Yarrowia lipolytica: one gene and its partners. The protein of the gene in region 2 interacts with the protein of the main gene of each other region in a pairwise test. Links are inferred from orthologs where the notes say so. Each region holds a gene or a part of one and is shown on either strand. Other genes may lie near its edges.

What was found.
Region 1: the proteins of YALI1_D05070g (region 2) and YALI1_D13916g interact in binary tests that used the Saccharomyces cerevisiae proteins (3 or more experiments, as listed by UniProt). The link is inferred for Yarrowia lipolytica from reciprocal best matches to the Saccharomyces cerevisiae genes SHO1 and CYK3.
Region 3: the proteins of YALI1_D05070g (region 2) and YALI1_C33406g interact in a two-hybrid assay, tested with the Saccharomyces cerevisiae proteins (2 studies listed by BioGRID, with this or other methods). The link is inferred for Yarrowia lipolytica from reciprocal best matches to the Saccharomyces cerevisiae genes SHO1 and CHS3.
Region 4: the proteins of YALI1_D05070g (region 2) and YALI1_F13446g interact in a two-hybrid assay, tested with the Saccharomyces cerevisiae proteins (2 studies listed by BioGRID). The link is inferred for Yarrowia lipolytica from reciprocal best matches to the Saccharomyces cerevisiae genes SHO1 and UTP7.

What each region holds. Positions count from the first base shown.
Region 1 is NC_090773.1:1,388,007-1,393,441, reverse strand, and holds YALI1_D13916g (uncharacterized protein), read left to right. Parts: upstream 1-1,778; coding exon 1,779-4,898; downstream 4,899-5,435. Other genes in the region: YALI1_D13871g (uncharacterized protein), read right to left, coding at 5,221-5,435. UniProt on the Saccharomyces cerevisiae protein: Involved in cytokinesis by recruiting INN1 to the bud neck. Cooperates with INN1 to stimulate the synthesis of the primary septum (PS) by CHS2.
Region 2 is NC_090773.1:505,633-508,634, reverse strand, and holds YALI1_D05070g (uncharacterized protein), read left to right. Parts: upstream 1-1,553; coding exon 1,554-2,456; downstream 2,457-3,002. UniProt on the Saccharomyces cerevisiae protein: Plasma membrane osmosensor that activates the high osmolarity glycerol (HOG) MAPK signaling pathway in response to high osmolarity.
Region 3 is NC_090772.1:3,336,419-3,342,377, reverse strand, and holds YALI1_C33406g (uncharacterized protein), read left to right. Parts: upstream 1-1,760; coding exon 1,761-5,441; downstream 5,442-5,959. Other genes in the region: YALI1_C33427g (uncharacterized protein), read left to right, coding at 1-520; YALI1_C33354g (uncharacterized protein), read right to left, coding at 5,524-5,959. UniProt on the Saccharomyces cerevisiae protein: Polymerizes chitin, a structural polymer of the cell wall and septum, by transferring the sugar moiety of UDP-GlcNAc to the non-reducing end of the growing chitin polymer.
Region 4 is NC_090775.1:1,342,523-1,346,241, reverse strand, and holds YALI1_F13446g (uncharacterized protein), read left to right. Parts: upstream 1-1,606; coding exon 1,607-3,175; downstream 3,176-3,719. Other genes in the region: YALI1_F13452g (uncharacterized protein), read right to left, coding at 1-1,003. UniProt on the Saccharomyces cerevisiae protein: Involved in nucleolar processing of pre-18S ribosomal RNA.

The DNA of each region.
Region 1 (5,435 bases), about 880 kb from region 2:
GCGAACCGGGGCTTCACGTCCGGCAGGCATCCAGAACTATCAACGTGTATCAGATTTCACTGTGTGTGAAACCACATGAGAAAAAAGAACTTGCCTTCCAATATATTCCTGCGGTTTGTACGCGTGCCTCCATGTTCCAGGCATACACAAGGCACCCGTAACTTTGACAAGTGTACCTTGTAGAACATGATTTCGTGGAAAAGGGGCGAGTATAGAACAGAATAGAAGAAGTTCAGAACTCGTACCAGACATAGACTAAGTCTGAGGACATTCTCATCACATGACACGCTGTTCTCAAATGTCCAGAAGTGCTCCAATCCAAGGCGCGGCTGGTTCCACAGTGATGCTCGCACTTCAGTCTCTACAGTCTCAGCCCCATGCTTTGTCTGTCTCAATACAATTGTTCCACAAAGCTTATCGTTGGGAGGAAGAACCAGCAGCTCCGAAAAGTTAACAAAGGGTGCATTTTTAGAACAAGTTACCACAGGCGCTTTTTTCGTGTTTGGTGGGGCGCGTGGGGTATTGAAAAAATATAGACCATGGCTCCACAGCACAGTGTTGGATATTAGCGGGAATATTATTCATGGAAACAAGTCAAGAGACACATAGACAGTCGCAATCATCTTCATTATTCTCCATCTCCAATTCCAGCGATCCTTTGACCCTTTCCTCACTGCCCCTCACCTCACTGGCGATCAACGGCCCGCATGAAAATCCTGCCCTCTCCATTCCGTGACCAACCGCGTATATGTGCCCTCCACACGTGTGGGTGGGACTTGCAGAGCCGAGAGACGAGTGTTTCAATGGAAAAAATAATCACAAAATAATATTGCCGACACCAGCCTGGTGGAATCTCGCTGGAGTGACACTCTTGGTCCGTACAGTTGTACTGTAATATTATTGCACTAGTTAAGACATGAGTATAGGCCACTGTAGCCCAGGTCATTAGTGTGTGAAAGCGCACTAAAGCTACAGTAATTGTAGCATAATCACCACGAATAGACAGAAAACATTCCGGTTAGCGGGATATCATAGCAATAGCACGTTTTACTTATGGTATCAAGTCTCATTCTAGATCAGTCAGTTGTTTTGTTCCAGGTAGAGCAGTCGGATGCTGCTGTACCTGGTAGACCCGGCATGGGTCGTTATTGCAGTACAGCGGCTCTTCCTCTCGGTTGTCCATCAATGGTTTTGTGAGAAGAATGTACGGTTGCAGTCAGACGATACATGACGCACGTAAGGAGGTGGCGGTGGGCTGCGAGCAGGCCAGCAGGCCAGCAGGTGCACTGGTGGAACGGGAGAGGAGCAACATTGGGTCGATAACTCCGCTCATCGGGATATCCACTGGTCTCAACCCCTATTTCACCTCGCACTCGCCCCATGCTAATTTACAGTCCACTCTGTGACCGTCTTGCTTTTTCCCAATTTTGGCTTCTGCACTGTATTATGGGCGCCCCATTGTCTTCCTCCATAAACTTTGATATGCATGATCGGGCATGCTCGCTCAAACCTTGGACTGTTTGGCCCGTGCCTAAATAGGGTCTACGGAGAGGGACCACTGTAAAGCTCAGTAGGAGAAGAGCAGACCAGCTGCAAACGACATCTCCGGCCTTGGGTTTTGCGATCCTACACATCATCCTTGCTGCAATTGTTCTCCTACAAGTTTACACTACACCCTTGCCGCACGACTCATCTGATCCGACCCGGTCTCTACAAGTACGATACTTTGGAAAGATCAGATTGAACCTCTTCAACCAGCTTACACACCATTACACATCATGACCGACACCTTCACGGTTCCGTACCTGCCCTGCCAGGTCAAGGCCATCTACTCGTGGTCGGGCGAGGAAGACAACGACCTGGGCTTCATTGAAGGAGACATCATTGACGTCCTCAACACGGGAGACGGAAACTGGTGGACTGGCAAACTACGACGAAACAACGTCACTGGAGTGTTCCCTCGCAACTTTGTGGTTCTGGACGAGCCCAAGGGCGGCCGACGACCCCACCAGCCGCCTCAGAAACGGTACACTCTGTGTGACGGAGACGACAGCTACAACGGAGGATACAGCTCAGCTGACGCTTCTCAGGTGTCTCTGGAGCTGACGAGGTCTCCCTCGACTGAAGTGTCTGCTCTGGACATTGCTAAGCCCGTCAATGGCGGTTACAAGTCTTTGGATCCCGCTCAATCTTCGCCACAGTCTTTTGACCCACTTGCTAAGCTAAGTATGCATCTTCAGAGTATTGATCTGGGACATGATCCACTGTACCCTCCTGTTCCTCCTCATGGAGTGAAGCAAACCTCCAACACACGCAGCGGCAATCAGTCTACAAACTCACACAATGCCACCTACGACAAATACTCATCTCTGTCTAACCACAAAAGAACCAACTCGGATGATGGTAACTTTTCTGGCGACTTTTCCGGAGACTACTCTGGGGATCTGGTCAACCACAAGTTTGACAGAGACATTACTCCACGACACAATGGTCTCGACCGGACGCCATCGCCGCTCAGAAACGCCATGGACGACGTTCTGCTGAGTCTAGATGGTATGAAACAAGGTGCTAGAGCACAACAAGACTACAGAGATTTCACACCTACCAAAGACAGACCATACGGGGCTGTCCATACGCCAATGGCGTACCGACCTGAGGCAAGGAGACAGTTGTCGTACCACGAGAAACGGTCCTCTTGGATCCAAAGTGCAGGCCAGAAGACTTTTCATATGGGCGACAATGAGAGTGCGGCTTCTTCAGACGACGAAGAAGATGTTCCATTTTCTCCCGACTCTTATGGCAAGCTTCCATTTTCGCCTGACTCGTACAGTGGGGGTTCTGCTGGAGTCCATCGAGCAGACACTGTCAACTCGTACTCCTCGGAGATGACAAAAATGTCTGGGGTTTCGGGCTGTTCTTTGCCGACCACTGTGTCTGATTTCAGTGCCACTTCTGCTGCTGACTTCCACATGCGCCAGGGTCTCCACGAAGTGACCACAAAGTACATGGCTGACATTGAGTCCACTATGAAGACAGATTCCGCTGACTACGATGCCACGGAGGTGCCCGTGGCTCTGCCCAACCAGTTGGGTCCCGAGAAGTCGCTCAAGATGCGAAAGTCCACGGGCTTCCTCAAGAAGTTCATTAAGAAGGTGACCAACACAGTTCCTTCTTCAGGCTCGACTCCAAACATGTACAAGACAGCATTTGTGGAGTCTTCGCCGTCTTCACGAGCTTCGCCCAAACGAACCGCTTCCATCAAGTCCAACAAGTCCAGTCGCTCGCTCCGGTCCATCAAGTCTCTGTCGGCAATCTCCTTCTCCTCCAGCAACTTCAGCTCCGCAGCTCTCATGAGCGAACCAAGCAAGACCAGCAATGTCAAGCAGTCGGCTGTGGATCCCAAACAGTGGATTGAGATTCGCCAGAATGTCCACAGGGCCAACACCGTTACCGCTGTGGAACGTAAGGAGCGGCAGAAGAAACTGGCTCTGGAGGGTATCAGATGCATTGAGCCGCTCAAGAAAACAGCGCAACTCATCTCGCCACGGAAGATTGAAACTGATCTCAGTCACGTGGACCGCTACGTGCGAACACAAATGTCTTCGCTTGCGTCGTCGTCCACTCCCCACCTGCTCATGTCCAGACATGTCATGCCACAGTTCCAATATGAGATTGAACGGCTCCGAGCTGTCTTCATGTTCTGTTCCGAGAAGCTCAAGTGGACTGGAGACCATGCCGAGAGATATGACATTGACTTACAAGCGACGATGCAAAGCCGAAAGGCCACCACTCAGGAAGTGGCCATGTTGGTGTCGCATATGTGTGCTGCCTTGGGAGTGCACTGCCAGGTTATCCCAGGTATGCTCAAGGCCCCTGGAGGGGTGTTTGACTCGCGATCCACACTAACACCAAACCACTTCTGGAATGCGGTGCTTGTGGATGACCAATGGCGAGTCATGGACTGCACTCTTGCCAACCCTTCGTTCCCGCTGCGATATCAGTACTCTGCAGCCAGTGATCGAGCCTGCGACGACTTTTACTTCCTCGCTTCCCCTGCGGAGGCCATCTACACGCACATCCCCACCAAGGAGACGTACCAGCATCTTGAGCCCGGCCCTCTGGATCTCATGACCGCTCTTGCACTGCCTGTGCTGTGTCCTAAGTACTGGGACACGCGGGTCAAGCTCACCAACTACGACACCACTCTGATGCGGCTCAAGAACCTCGAGGTCGGAGAAGTGACCTTCACTGTGTCTCCAGACATGGAGATCTTTGCGGACGTGCAACCGGGCTCTTTTGCTGCCCATGGACACTCGGCCATGCTTGAATACGCAGCCTCCAGAACCATCCAAAAGGTGCCCACCTTGTGCCAGGTGTACTGGGAGTTTGGCAAGCGAATCTACCGGGTCAAGGCCGTTCTTCCTCCTGGTTTCGCACAGGGACTGGTCAACGTCTATTGTGGTCCCAAGGGCAAGAACTCATCGCACAGAAAGAACCACCATCCTGTCGTGGCAGCCTTCCCCATCACACACAGTGGAACCACTCAGCAGTTTGAGTTTGTCATCAGACATCCCACTCCTCACTGCAAGCTGCAGGATCTCTATGTGGTCCAACCCCAGTGCTACAAACTCACAGTCGGCAACATCTACCACTTTGCCATCAAGCAGCACCCCAGCTCGGGCATCAACTCTGGCTCCGGCTTTGCCCGCACCAAAATCGCCATTCAGCCTCCTTCGGGCAAAATCACAAAACTCGTGCTCAAGGAAGACGACTCCACCACCACCCACGGGCTCTGGGAGCTCAGTGTCAAGTGTACCGAAAGCGGCCCCTGGCGGGCGCTGGTGCTCACTGACAGTGGCAGTGCATGGAGCGTCTTTGCTGAATGGCTCTGTAGCTAACATTATTTATATAGATTGATTAATTGTACAACGTGTTTGTTTCATGGTCGTATGTATGGTTCCACTCAGATGCCAATGCCATGTTGTGTATACGATAAGTAGGGACAAGTACACATAACCGGTATGTACTAATTTGTACAGTGGTAGAAGTTCATACCTCCTGCGAACATCGTACGCACTGTCGTTTAAGATAGATGTGGTACCCGCACTGCGGTCTATGTAGCTACAGTCGCCCAGGCTTACATTGTGTTGCCTCACTCACACACCTGCTCTATTTCTATTCAGATGGTCTAATATATATTTATGGTGTCGTTTTGGGGGTCTAGAAGATGTTAAGAAGGTGGTAAGGGTAGCCGCCGTTCTTGATGTGGAACTTGGCCAGCAGAAAGCTGTAGGCCACCAGAATGACGATACACAGAGCCAGGGTGACACCAACCTGCTTGCTTCCAGTGTTAAGAGAAGGGGCTCGGAGAGCCAGAGAAATCACGCAAAAAGCCAAGAGCGCGTAGGTAAGGGCGATAATCTGGGTCTCGACAC
Region 2 (3,002 bases):
AGTGGACACTTTTTGTCTTGATCATAGACATACAGTAACAAGCCAAAATACAATATATACGGGGCGTTATCAGAAACAGCAAGTACGAGTGCTTGTGCTGTAAGTGCCATAGCTTGCCATTGAGGGATGTACAGCGCAAGTACCAGTACCGGTACTTCTTTCAATTCAATTCAATTGATTCCGATTTATTCATGTTGTGGTATTTTCATTACATAATTCTCCCATTAATGAGATAAATCTTGAGGTGTCTTACTTGAAATGTAGTAGCTGGCACCAGTACGGGTACTCGCACTTTTATTACGTACGTTGTATGTACTGGCATCTCACCATGTGTACACAGCACAGAGACGACGACACAAATAGACCACCCGAAAACACACCCACAAGTACTAACCGCCTCGTTCATCAAGACGGGCTCAAAAATATCCACCTCTCTCCTTCCATCTGATCCCACTGCAGGTATGTTTCAGCAGCATGGCTGTTTCAAGCTGTCGCATTGTAAACAAACATGACAACAATGCGCTAGGGACGAAAAGGCAACGATAGCGTGTTTGGCATGGGTCGGGTACCTGGCATGTAAGACACTTGAACGGAGAGACGCTGTGAGCAGAACCTGACTGGCTACTTGTAGTAAGAAATGGTAGTTAGCGTACTTTCACCACAGTACATCTGGGTGGTCACAGCAGCTGAACCTCCTGAAAGCGCAAGGATCGTATACAACTGCCAGTATTGTACTTGTATTACAATACTCGTACTCGATACACGTACAGGTAAAATATGCGTGCCTTCTATTGTACAACCAGGGTCTCCATTATACTAAATATAGAAACGGAGATTATTATTTTCCACAACACTAGGACTTCATTTCCGCACGCTTGGTGGTGGAAGGTGGAGATGCCGCTGAGAAAAACGGTCTAATGATAGTGTCAACATGGCCTCAATATAGCCTTGACATAGCCGGAAAGCAGGGTGCATTCTGAAACACAAGTGATAGGTGCCATATGTATGAGTATATACGTAGAGGGAGGTGGTTGGTTGGTGCCAGCAGTGAATTTATTACATAAACTGGGTTTTCGCACGCGATTTCACCTTTACTTGGACCCTCACCAACGTTCTCACTGGCACTCAAAGGGTCCTGCTGCTCCTCTTCAACCCTTGTGCCCCTTGTTTCGTGGCTGTTTCACATAGAGTTCATTTTCAGAGCAGTGTGGGTGAGTCGTTAGGGCGATTTAGCTCTAGCAGCCAGCAAGGTTTTTTGAAGGCCCTGACGGAGAGTAGATGAGGGAGTGTAAGGGGCGATGAGAAGCGATATTGACTGTTCGAAAGGCGTACGATTGTTCTAAAGTGCTCAAATGGTCGATTTCCGTTTCAAGCTTCTCAACAGCTCTTCAGAAACCTGCACTTTGGGGAGCCCCATTCTCCTCGTCTGTCTCCAACTAGGTTTCGTTTATGCAAAAGATGCCCCTGTCACGTTCCTTTAGTCGAATGTGTTTTGGGAAAGTCGACACTCACGCAGCTCCTGCTCCTCCTCAGACCACGACAACCGCACGACCATGAGACAGCCATTCTCGTACCGACCGCAGTTCCAGCTGGGGCTGCTGATGGGCGATCCGTTTGCGCTCTCCACCATTTCGCTCGGCATCATTGGTTGGATTATCGCCCTGGGCGGTTCCATCGGCGCCTCGGACCAGTTCAAAAACTTTGGCTGGTGGGGTCTGGCGTTCGAATTTTTTGTCATCCTGTGCGTCTTCCTCGTGGTCGCCACAGACTCGGTCGAGCCCTACCGCCAGATGCTGCTGGCGTTTCTGGCGTTGGCCACCATGTATGTGACCAACTCCACCAACAATGTGGTGTACAACGGCACATCGGCAAGCTCGGCGTCCGGCGCAGGCCACATTCTGCTCTCCATCATCAACTTTCTGTGGATGATCTATTTCGGCACAACCCACGAGGCAGGCATCCATGCGTGGGTTGACTCTTTCGCGGCCGATAAGGGTCACTCGTACAACAACGACCAGTTTGCCATGCGACGGTCTAACCCCTTCTCGCTGCATGATCAGCAGCGCCAGAGCCTTGGCGTGCCCGGCCGGCCGGTCTCCGCCTACTCAGCTGGAATGGGAGGCGTCGCCAACTACAACGGCCTGCAGCTCGGCGGGTTTGAAAACTCGTCCAATGCCGAACCACACCAGGCAAGCCCGGCCTTCTCGCAACAGCAACAGCAGCAGACGGCCACCCCACAACAGGCGACTGACTCGCTCTTTGTGGCCACAGAGTACCCATACAGAGCCCGGGCGGTTTACGCGTACCAGGCGAACCCTGAGGACGCCAACGAGATCAGTTTCGACAAGGGCGAGATTCTCGATGTCAGTGATATCAGTGGAAGATGGTGGCAAGCCCGGAGGGACAATGGAGAGATTGGTATCTGTCCTAGTAATTATGTTGAGCTGTTGGCATAGGTTTAGCAGCAGTGCGACTATGCCTTGTCTACAGGCATTCCTAACGTGAACCACAATTTCTCGTTAATACACCATCCAGCAAAGTACATCTGATGCACTCACTGCGACCGCTCACGCCACGCCTGAGCCGAGCCACTGTAAATCCAGTCGCTCTTGTTATATTCTATTTACCATATTTATGTTCTTATACTAGTAAGATATATTTACACATACGAGGCGGAGGAGGAAACAGAAACGCGGCAAGTGATACAGACAGCTCTGAAGTGCTATGATATGAGGGCAGTAAAAGAACGAGGTGATGTGGGTGTTCACTTCTCATACACTTTATACACAATATTCTTATTCGAATATATATCATTAGTTATGTTCTTTTTATTATATTTTATGGAATTAAATCTATATGTAACTCTTCGTAGCCATTATTGAAGAATGACCCAAAAACCAAACTCTCCATATCTTATGGTGGTAGAGGACACACCGTATACACAGCCTTCCTCAACACGAGCACACACCAGTTTGCGTACTAAAAAGACAATATGTCAAGTA
Region 3 (5,959 bases), on a different chromosome or scaffold from region 2:
GGCCCGGTTTGCCAGGAGAGAGAAACGAAAAACGACACAAGGAGAGCCCAGTGAAAGGACCAGAGTCAAAACGTTTCCAGGATACCGGATACCTCCCGTGGGCCAGCTCCAAGTGGTGGTATCCAACCTGCAAAAGACAGCAGTCAAGCTCTTTCTGATACCCTACAACGTTGCTGAAATGCCCAGCGGCACCCGAACATTTATTCGGCAAAAGGTCTATTCTGCATCGAGCACCCCTGGCTCCAAAGGCACCCTAGTCCATGCTGCACACATTCCTATCGTTCGTCTGGACAATGACAAGCTGTATCTTTGCGGGGACATTCGTCTGGTGTTCCAGAACCGAGTGTTGAACGGTGGTGCAATGAACGACACGACCTTAACTTCTCAGGAGCCTTCCAAGGACAATAACGATTTCACCAAGCACTACCTAGGCCTCGGGAGATCAAAGGACAACATGGTGATTGAGGAGATGATGGGCGGATGGTCCAAGGTGTCTGAGACACCAGCATGTTCACAATGAGCGCCGAACCACTCTATTTATTTGCATTAGCGTACAGAACTCTTGCTGACGCCTTACTCCCTACTGATTTGATATTCTTGTGTACCTTCGAAGGTGCATCCCTTTTGGTCATTGTATTTACGCATCAATCCATACCCCATCCTGACATCTGAATGGCTTTGTAATAGTACATACCTTACATACTGTACAGCTCATACATACCGTCGCTTAGTGATAGATTTGCATCAACAGAAATGTGGCTTAACACGCAACCTTTCGCGGGTATATGGTATTTTTTTTATTCTACAGTAGGGAAATACATTGCAGCTACTGAGGGCTGTGTGCACCCAACAGGGTCATGAAACAGGCGTTTTGGGCATATCCGTTTATGGCAGCAAGATTACTGTAATTAATTATCGTCCTGGTAAAATTGCCTTGTCCACCAATACTGTAGATGACGTCATCAGTGTATATTGAGTGGACGAAATGTTGCCCTAACAATAAATATTATTGGAGAAAAGCGCGATTCGCCTCTGCTTTTATCCTATTTACCCGATCATATTCAAGTATTATTGCTGTCTACCTCATTTGCGCCTTCATCCCCAGACGCTTATTAATGCGTCGGCTTTTTATAGGTTGCTCCCAACAGCGGTGACCATAAAATTGAGACACAGTTGACCTGCACACAAACCAGCCACCGACGCGTGTCGGTAGCGAAGTCAAAGTTAACCCCTTAGCTAAAAAGTCGTCTATTTATAGCCGCCTCACGTGGTGCATTGCAGGGACTATTGTCGATGACGAGTCCGCTGGAGGCGAAAAAGCGACAAAGAACCGAAATCTGTCATTTGTTTCTGCGCCGGAAATACTGTACCTGCTTTATGACTCAAACATTGGTGTACTTTTTTTTTAGCCTCCTGGGGTTTACCCTTCGCCATAATAAGACTACTTTGTAGGTGCCCATACAGCTCAAAATTTTAAGTTTGTATATTTTTGGAACGCAGTCCAAGGAAAAACAGAAACCTTCGAACATCGAAATCCTTACTTTACTACAGTACAGTAGCTGGATATTGCACCTGAGCTTCACAAAGTGAGTACATTTCGACTAAATTGTTCAAGCGCGCGGAGCAATCACAAGAAGTGAGTACGCGGCCCACGACTGGACCTGCGTTACGCGTTCTGTTCCCCACAAGACCACGTTTTTTTTTTCTTTTCTTTCTTTCATTACACCCCCTCCCCTGACGTGTGGTCCAACAGCAAACACATGACTAACACAGTGGATTCGTACAACAAATTCGGATTCAACTCGGAGACGGGTGAGCCCAACACTGGCCCCCAGGACACATCTGGCAGTGTCCCCAGTGAACACAGAGGCGACGGCTCGTTCTCCCCCGACATTGGACGAAAGAAGTCTCTCATTCGACCTGACCGAGCTCGACTCGACCCCGACTCGCGAACTTATCACTACTCGCAGCTGGCCGCCCAGCAGCAAAGCAGAATCAACGTGCTTCCCAGTTCCACCGGAAATGACCCTATTCTCGAGGAGCACTACATGCGCGAGACTGGCGAGATCCAGCCTGGTCAGGGATACGATCAGCCCTACGACAACGCCGTGAACCAGGAGGTGCTAGAGGAGGAAAACGAGGAATCATACAGAGAGGGAGAGGAGGACCCTTACGCCTACTCGGGCCGTCAGGTCTATGGTCTCAATGACGAGGTCCAAACCGAGGCCTACGTGCGAAAGTCGGACGAAATCTCCTCATCAGAAGAACAGGCTGCCGACACCCAACCGCCCATCATCGACCCACCTGTCAACGAAAAGGTTCAGCTCAGCCGTGGAGGAGGAACACTGAAGCGACACAACTCCGTCAAGCGACGAATGGGCACCCAACCCAAGCAGATTTCGCTGTGGATGACCTACTGTCAGATTGTTACCTTCTGGGCCCCCGCTCCTGTGCTCAAGATGTTTGGCATGCCCCAAAAAGCCCGACAGGACGCCTGGCGAGAAAAGATTGGCCTCATCACTGTTATTCTTTACATTGCCGCCTTTGTTGCATACCTGACTTTCGGCTTCACCATCACAGTTTGTTCCAGTTCCATCACCCGAGTGCGAAACGGAGAAGTCAACTCTGGAAACCTCATCATTAATGGTAAGCAATACGACTTTACCTCTATGAACCACCCTCCCACAGTCGAGGTTCCTACTGGCGGTAACTTCATGTACCCTCCTGTTAATGCTGGATCCATGGACGGTTCTTTGCTGTTCCAGAACGTCAACAACCACTGCAAGGGTCTAATCACCCCCAAGCCCGACTGTAAAATTCCCTACAACGGCGACAGCGTTGCCTGGTATATGCCCTGCCAGCTGCTCAACCAGGACGGATCTTCCCAACCCAACACTACTGAGCAGTTCTACCCCGGCTACGCATGCCACACTTCCACCACCGCTCGAAACGTCTACTACCACCAGCTGGTTGATGCCGGTGAGGTCTACTTCACCTGGGACGATATCAAGAACTCTACTCGAAACCTGGCTGTGTTCAACGGAGCTGTCATTGACCTGAACATGGTCAACTTCATTCTTAAGGACGACCTCAACTACCCCGAGATCTTTGACACTCTGCGAGATGACGATTCCATCAAGGGTACTGATATCTCTCGTAATATGGCCAACGGTCCTGATCGACAGGCTGCCCGATGTCTGCAAGAGATTGCCAAGGTTGGATACATTGATACCGAGCAGATTGGATGTCTGGCTTCCCAGGTTGTTCTGTATGTATCTCTGGTTTTCATTATCTCCATTGTCGCCGTCAAGTTCCTATTTGCTATCTACTACAAGTGGGCCATTTCTGCCAAGCAGGGAGCTTTCCCCATTGACAACAAGCAGATGAACCAGCGAGAGAACGAGATTGAGGACTGGTCCGAGAACATTTACAGCCAGGCTCCCATCAAGCGAGTGGACCGAGACCAGCCTAAGTCCAGTGCCACTCCCTTCCGTGGCCTCATCAAGCACCGATTCAACCAGCACGACAATAAGAACAAGCGAATGAGCACAATGGTGACCCAGGTTGGTGAGAGTGGAACTGCTCCTTCCGTCTACTCTCGAAACTCCGCTGCGATCGACTCCAACACTGATGTTGGCGGTGTTGTCTACGATTACGACTCTGGATCTCAGCCCTACGAGGCGCCCACCGTCAACGTTGTGCCCCAGCCCCCCATCGACTACCAACCGTTCAACTACCCTCTCGCCCACACCATGTGTCTGGTGACTGCATACTCCGAGTCGATTGACGGTCTGAGAACCACCCTTGACTCTATCACCACAACCGACTACCCTAACTCCCATAAACTCATTGTTATCATTGCCGATGGTATTATTAAGGGTTCCGGTAACGACATGTCTACCCCTGACATTTGTCTAAGTATGATGTGTGATATGCCTATCCCCGAAGACCAGGTGAGACCCTTCTCTTACGTATCTACTTCTTCTGGTACAAAGCGTCATAACATGGCCAAGGTCTACTCTGGTTTCTACGCCTACGATGATGCCACAGTTCCACCTGAGAAGCAGCAGCGAGTCCCCGTTGTGACTATTGTCAAGTGCGGTACGCCTGCTGAGGCCAACGAGGCCAAGCCTGGTAACCGAGGTAAGCGAGACTCCCAGATCATTCTCATGTCGTTCTTGCAGCGTGTCATGTTCGACGAGCGAATGACCGAGCTGGAGCACGAGATGTTCAACGGTATCTGGCGAGTGACTGGTATTCTTCCCGACTTTTATGAAATCATTCTCATGGTGGATGCCGATACTAAGGTGTTCCCTGACTCTCTGACCCACATGGTGGCTGAGATGGTCAAGGATCCCGAGATTATGGGACTATGTGGAGAAACCAAGATTGCCAACAAGCGAGACTCTTGGGTCACTGCGATCCAGGTGTTTGAATACTACATTTCTCATCACCAGGCTAAGGCCTTTGAGTCCGTCTTTGGTGGTGTCACTTGTCTGCCTGGTTGTTTCTCCATGTACCGAATCAAGGCTCCCAAGGGCGGAGACGGCTACTGGGTGCCCATTCTTGCCAACCCTGATATCGTCGAGCGATACGCTGACAACGTGATTGACACTCTGCATAAGAAGAACCTGTTGCTTCTCGGAGAAGATCGATACCTGACCTCCCTCATGCTCAAGACCTTCCCCACGCGAAAACAGGTGTTTGTGTCCAAGGCTGTCTGCAAGACCATTGTTCCCGACAAGTTTTCTGTTTTGCTGTCTCAGCGAAGACGATGGATTAACTCCACTGTGCATAACCTGATGGAGCTGGTGCTGGTCAAGGATCTATGTGGTGTCTTCTGTATTTCCATGCAGTTTGTTGTCTTCATCGAGCTTGTTGGTACCCTGATTCTTCCCGCCGCCATCTCGTTCACCATCTACGTTGTCATTATTGCCATTGTGAGAAAACCTACGCCTGTCATGTCGCTGGTTCTGCTGGCTCTGATTTTGGGTCTGCCGGGTCTTCTCATTATCATCACAGCATCTCGATGGTCATACGTCGTGTGGATGTTCATCTACCTGCTATCTCTTCCCATTTGGAACTTTGTGCTCCCCGTCTACGCATACTGGAAGTTTGATGATTTCTCCTGGGGTGACACTCGACAGGTTGCTGGTGAAAAGAAGGGCTCTGGAGGCCACGACGAGGAGGATGGTGAATTTGACTCGTCTCAGATTGTCATGAAGCGATGGAGAGACTTTGAAATGGACAAGCGACGCTACGTGCCACTGCCTCCCCAGAACGCGTGGATGAGCGATCCTCACATGCCTTCTTACAACCACCAAGGATTTTCTGCTAACTCTTCCCCTGCTCTTAGACCCCAGGGCTCTTCTCATGTCTACTCGGACTCGGTTGCCGGAGCCAGTGACTACAACGTTGCTCAAGGCCACGAAGTACTTTAAGGCGTCAAGCCAAAAGCATATATATAATCATGATAAAATTACCGTGTTAACGATGTGTAGCTAGAATCTGTATTGCAATAAATTAAAACGAATGCTGACCAGTAGCAATTCGGTGTAGGAGCTGGAGGGATCCTTGGATTCCAGCCTCAAAATGTCTGGTGAGATACGACCGGCTGTCCTTGGGGGAAATGAATATGGCCAGAATGACACTGGTGAGTCCGATACACAGAGAGAAGAAGAAGATACGTCGGATGGAAATGGACGACGACGAGTTTTTCTTAGAAAGCTTGTTCTGTTCCCGCTGCTGGTTGCGCTTGTCAATGAGTTTCTGGCGGGCCAAACGTTCGTTTTCCTCCCGCACTTCGGACTCCTTAATTTGTAACGAGAGGTATGAGCTAATCAGCGAGGGTGCTGTAGCGGAAGAAGACATGCTGTTAGACGACAGAATGGACTCTGACGGAGATTCAGCCTGGGGCGATTGCGCAGCTGTCGTCTTCAATACAGAGTAGTTTGACAGT
Region 4 (3,719 bases), on a different chromosome or scaffold from region 2:
TGTTGTTGGAGTCTTCGACTTCGGCAATCTTCTTGTTGTTCTGTTCGATAACTCCCACCAGCACCTTCATGTGGTTGGCCAGCCGACGGTTCTCGGCGTTGCGCTCCTTAAGAGACTTGCACACTCGCTGGTACACGTCTTTGAGCGACGTGTATGTCGTCATAAGGGTGTGTTGCGACATGAGCTGCTGCTTGAGCTCTCTGACGGAGGCAAACGAGTCTGTGACCGAGTTGTCTGACCCTCCGGTGGCAAAGAAGTCGTCTTCGGGAGACAAGTTGAAGATCTTGCCCAGGTACTCGTCCATGTTCTGTTTGGACTCGGGCTCCTCAGTTGCGGAGGCAAGAGTGGAGGGAGGCATAGAGGGACTAACAGACGAGGCGGCAGACGAGGACACAGAGGGAATGTGGCTGTAGGAGTAGCAGGGGGGTTGTGGAAGATCCATAGTCGATGCAAGAAACTCAGGCAGAGAGCCCGAGTCGGGGGGGCTATGGATTTCTTCGATCTTTACGGGTTCGGGGCTGATCTCGGTTTTGATATCCCTCTTGGTCTCTGCAGAGACCGTGTGGATATTCTCCTCGTCATCGTCCTCGATCTCGATGATCTCTATGGGTTTGATCTCCTTCTTGAGATCCTTATCATCGCATTCGGATCCGGGCGTCAGAGAGTTGGGAGTGGCGAGATTCACGTCGTCGGGCTCCGACTTGTACGCAAGATCTCGCTCCAGCATGCGCGCCATTTCCTGGTCCTCGGAATCCTTCTCCAGCTTGACCTTTTTGGCTGGAGATGCCGGCTCCGTCTCTAGAGCCCTCTTGCCATGCTCGGGACTGTTGGAGGGGTCTCCATGGGGCGACGATTCCTTCTTCCAGTCGTCGTTAAAGTCCTGCTCGAACAGCTGGTCAATTGTGTTCATTGCTGACGGCGTCAGTTGTCGGGTAGCTGTGCTCTGTTTGGTACTATGTTGTGTGTTGTGCGAAAATTCACTGTTCGATTTTTTTGCCTTCATGCACTTTGGGCGAAAAAAAAAATTTGAAGTTATGCAGGCAACATTGTTTTCGGCACTGTTGATGATACCCGATAAGACAGGGATATGGCGACCTATATATAGCTAGCTGGGGGCTGGAGCCGTTACAGAGGGGATGTGGCGACTGTGCTCTAAAAATTAGTTTGGCCACTGCAAGTATATAAATATATATACATACGTGTCCTCCAGACAACCATCCCCATACACACTTAGTACCTTTCTCTATCATAGCCCGGCCATTAGAGAGCCGCACAGGTCAACCATAAAGAGAATCAGAGCAGGTAGGTGACGATGCTGAGTTCAATGCAACCGACGAGGATAGCAAACAAACACAGAGTTGCATACTTGTAGTTAGCATGCGACATTATGTTTGTTGCCGGAAAATCCAACATATTCGACATTTCTGGATGAAGAGAAGCGGTTGTGGTCTCACCGGTGCCACTACTCCATATTATATAATCATGCAATGCAATATGTAGGTGGTGAAGTTTAAAATATTTTTTTCCCCTAGGCCCCAACATCACAGAATTATCACCAAGCACCAGCAGACCAGCACCATATACAGCAGCCAATAGACAACCAACCATGTCTGAAGCACCAAAGAAGAAGCCGGCCTGGAAGACGGCCCGAAACAAGGAGCTCCGTAAGGATCTCAAGCGGGTGGAGAGCCACACCCAGGAGGCCAAGGAGGCGGCGAAAAAGACAGAAATGCTGCTGTTGGAGGAACAGGGCTTTCTAGAGGCCGAAAACGAAATGGAGGCGACCCACAAGGTGACGCAGGAGGAGATCAAGGCGTCGGTTGATATTTCCACCAAGAAAAAGGCCTACGACCTCAAGCTGCCCGACTTTGGCCCCTATGACATCAACTTCACCCGAACAGGCCGAAAGCTGCTCATTGGAGGCCGAAAGGGCCATGTGGCAGCGTTTGACTGGCGAGAGGGACGTCTACAGTTTGAACTCAACCTCAACGAGACTGTTCGTGCGGTCCAGTGGCTCCATAACGACCAATACTTTGCTGTGGCCCAGAAAAGGAATGTCTTCATCTATGACCACCAGGGATCCGAAGTACACAGACTCAAGCAGCAGATCGAAATGACCAACCTCGATTTCCTGCCCTACCACTACCTGCTCGTATCGTCGGGTCTCACCAGCATGCTCTTTTACCAGGATGTATCTATTGGTAAGCAAGTGGCTGCCTTCAAGACCAGACTGGGCCCCACCACCTCCCAGTGCCAGAACCCCTATAATGCCATCATGAATCTCGGCCACTCCAACGGAACCGTGACCATGTGGTCGCCCAACGTGGACGAGCCTCTGGTCAAGATGCTGGCCCATCGAGGCCCCGTGAACGACGTTTCTGTCGACCGATCAGGACGATACCTGGCCACGGCTGGCTCCGACTCGTCCGTCAAGGTCTGGGATATCAGAAACACCTACAAGGAGGTGCTGCGTCTGCCCCGAACCAAGGTGGCGCCCCAGACGGTTAACTGGTCTGACTCCAACCTGCTTTCTGTGGGCCACGGAAACACCATCACCGTGTGGAAGGACGTGCAATCTGCTCCTCGACCCAAGCAGCCCTATATGCAACACAACATGCATCCCGACTGGAAGGTGAGCAGCGCGCAGTTTGTGCCGTTTGAAGACATCCTTGGAGTAGGCCACTCCGAGGGCTTCTCTTCACTCATCATTCCCGGAGCCGGAGAGGCCAACTTTGACGCTCTGGAAGTCAACCCTTACCAGACGCGACACCAGCGACGAGAGGAGGAGGTGCGAACACTGCTGCAGAAGCTCCAGCCCGAGATGATCACCATGGATCCCGAAGACATTGGACGAATCGCCATGGACAAGGACCGGCGACGAAAGACGGCCCGAGAGCAGATGGAGGAGATCACGGAGCCCAACAAGAAGCGGGCACAAGAGTCGGACGACGACATGCCCGAGCTGCAACCCCATCTGGCCGACGAGGAGACGGCCGTCAGCAAGGAGCTGCAAAAGAAGAAAAAGAAGGGTGTGGTGGACGAGCGGCAGATGCGACTGGAGCAGCTTCAGGAGCGAGAGCGACGAATGCGAGAGAACAAAAAGCGACGACTGGAGGAGGGATATGTGGAGGAGTACGTGTCTCCTGCTATCTCCAGATTTCAGCAGAGACAATAGATAATTTATGCATATTGAACGAGCAAAAGTACAAGGCAAGTAATAGCAGACCGGCTGCTGACAGATGGAGTGGCCAAGTGAATCTGTACGCGTAGATGTAGTAAAAGAGCTACTGCTTATCGGTCCATCTCTTGTACCCAGGCATGGGAACACGAGTAAATACTGTACTGCGTCTCTTCAGATATTCTTTACTAGTGAAAGACCAACAGCGACTGGCTCGTTTCGAAAGTAGTCTCTTGATTACATGCTGTCTGTACTTTTACCGGTATGTGCGAACAGATTCATATGAATCGAACATGAGATAACGAGCCACCGAGCCACTCCTTTTCAGGCAGCTGATACTTAGGGTCTTGCTGCTGACTCGTTTATGAGTTGGCCCAGTGTAGTCATGTTTACGTTGGATCTAGCTGAAGAGAAGTGCCGTCGATATCATGGACCAGTGGCAACACATTACAATAGAAGGGACTTCGTTCAATCCCGCTTTTCTCGTCGTCTAGTTTTCAACTCCATGTTCTATTGCACCTTCCATTGCAAGCTGTTCTTT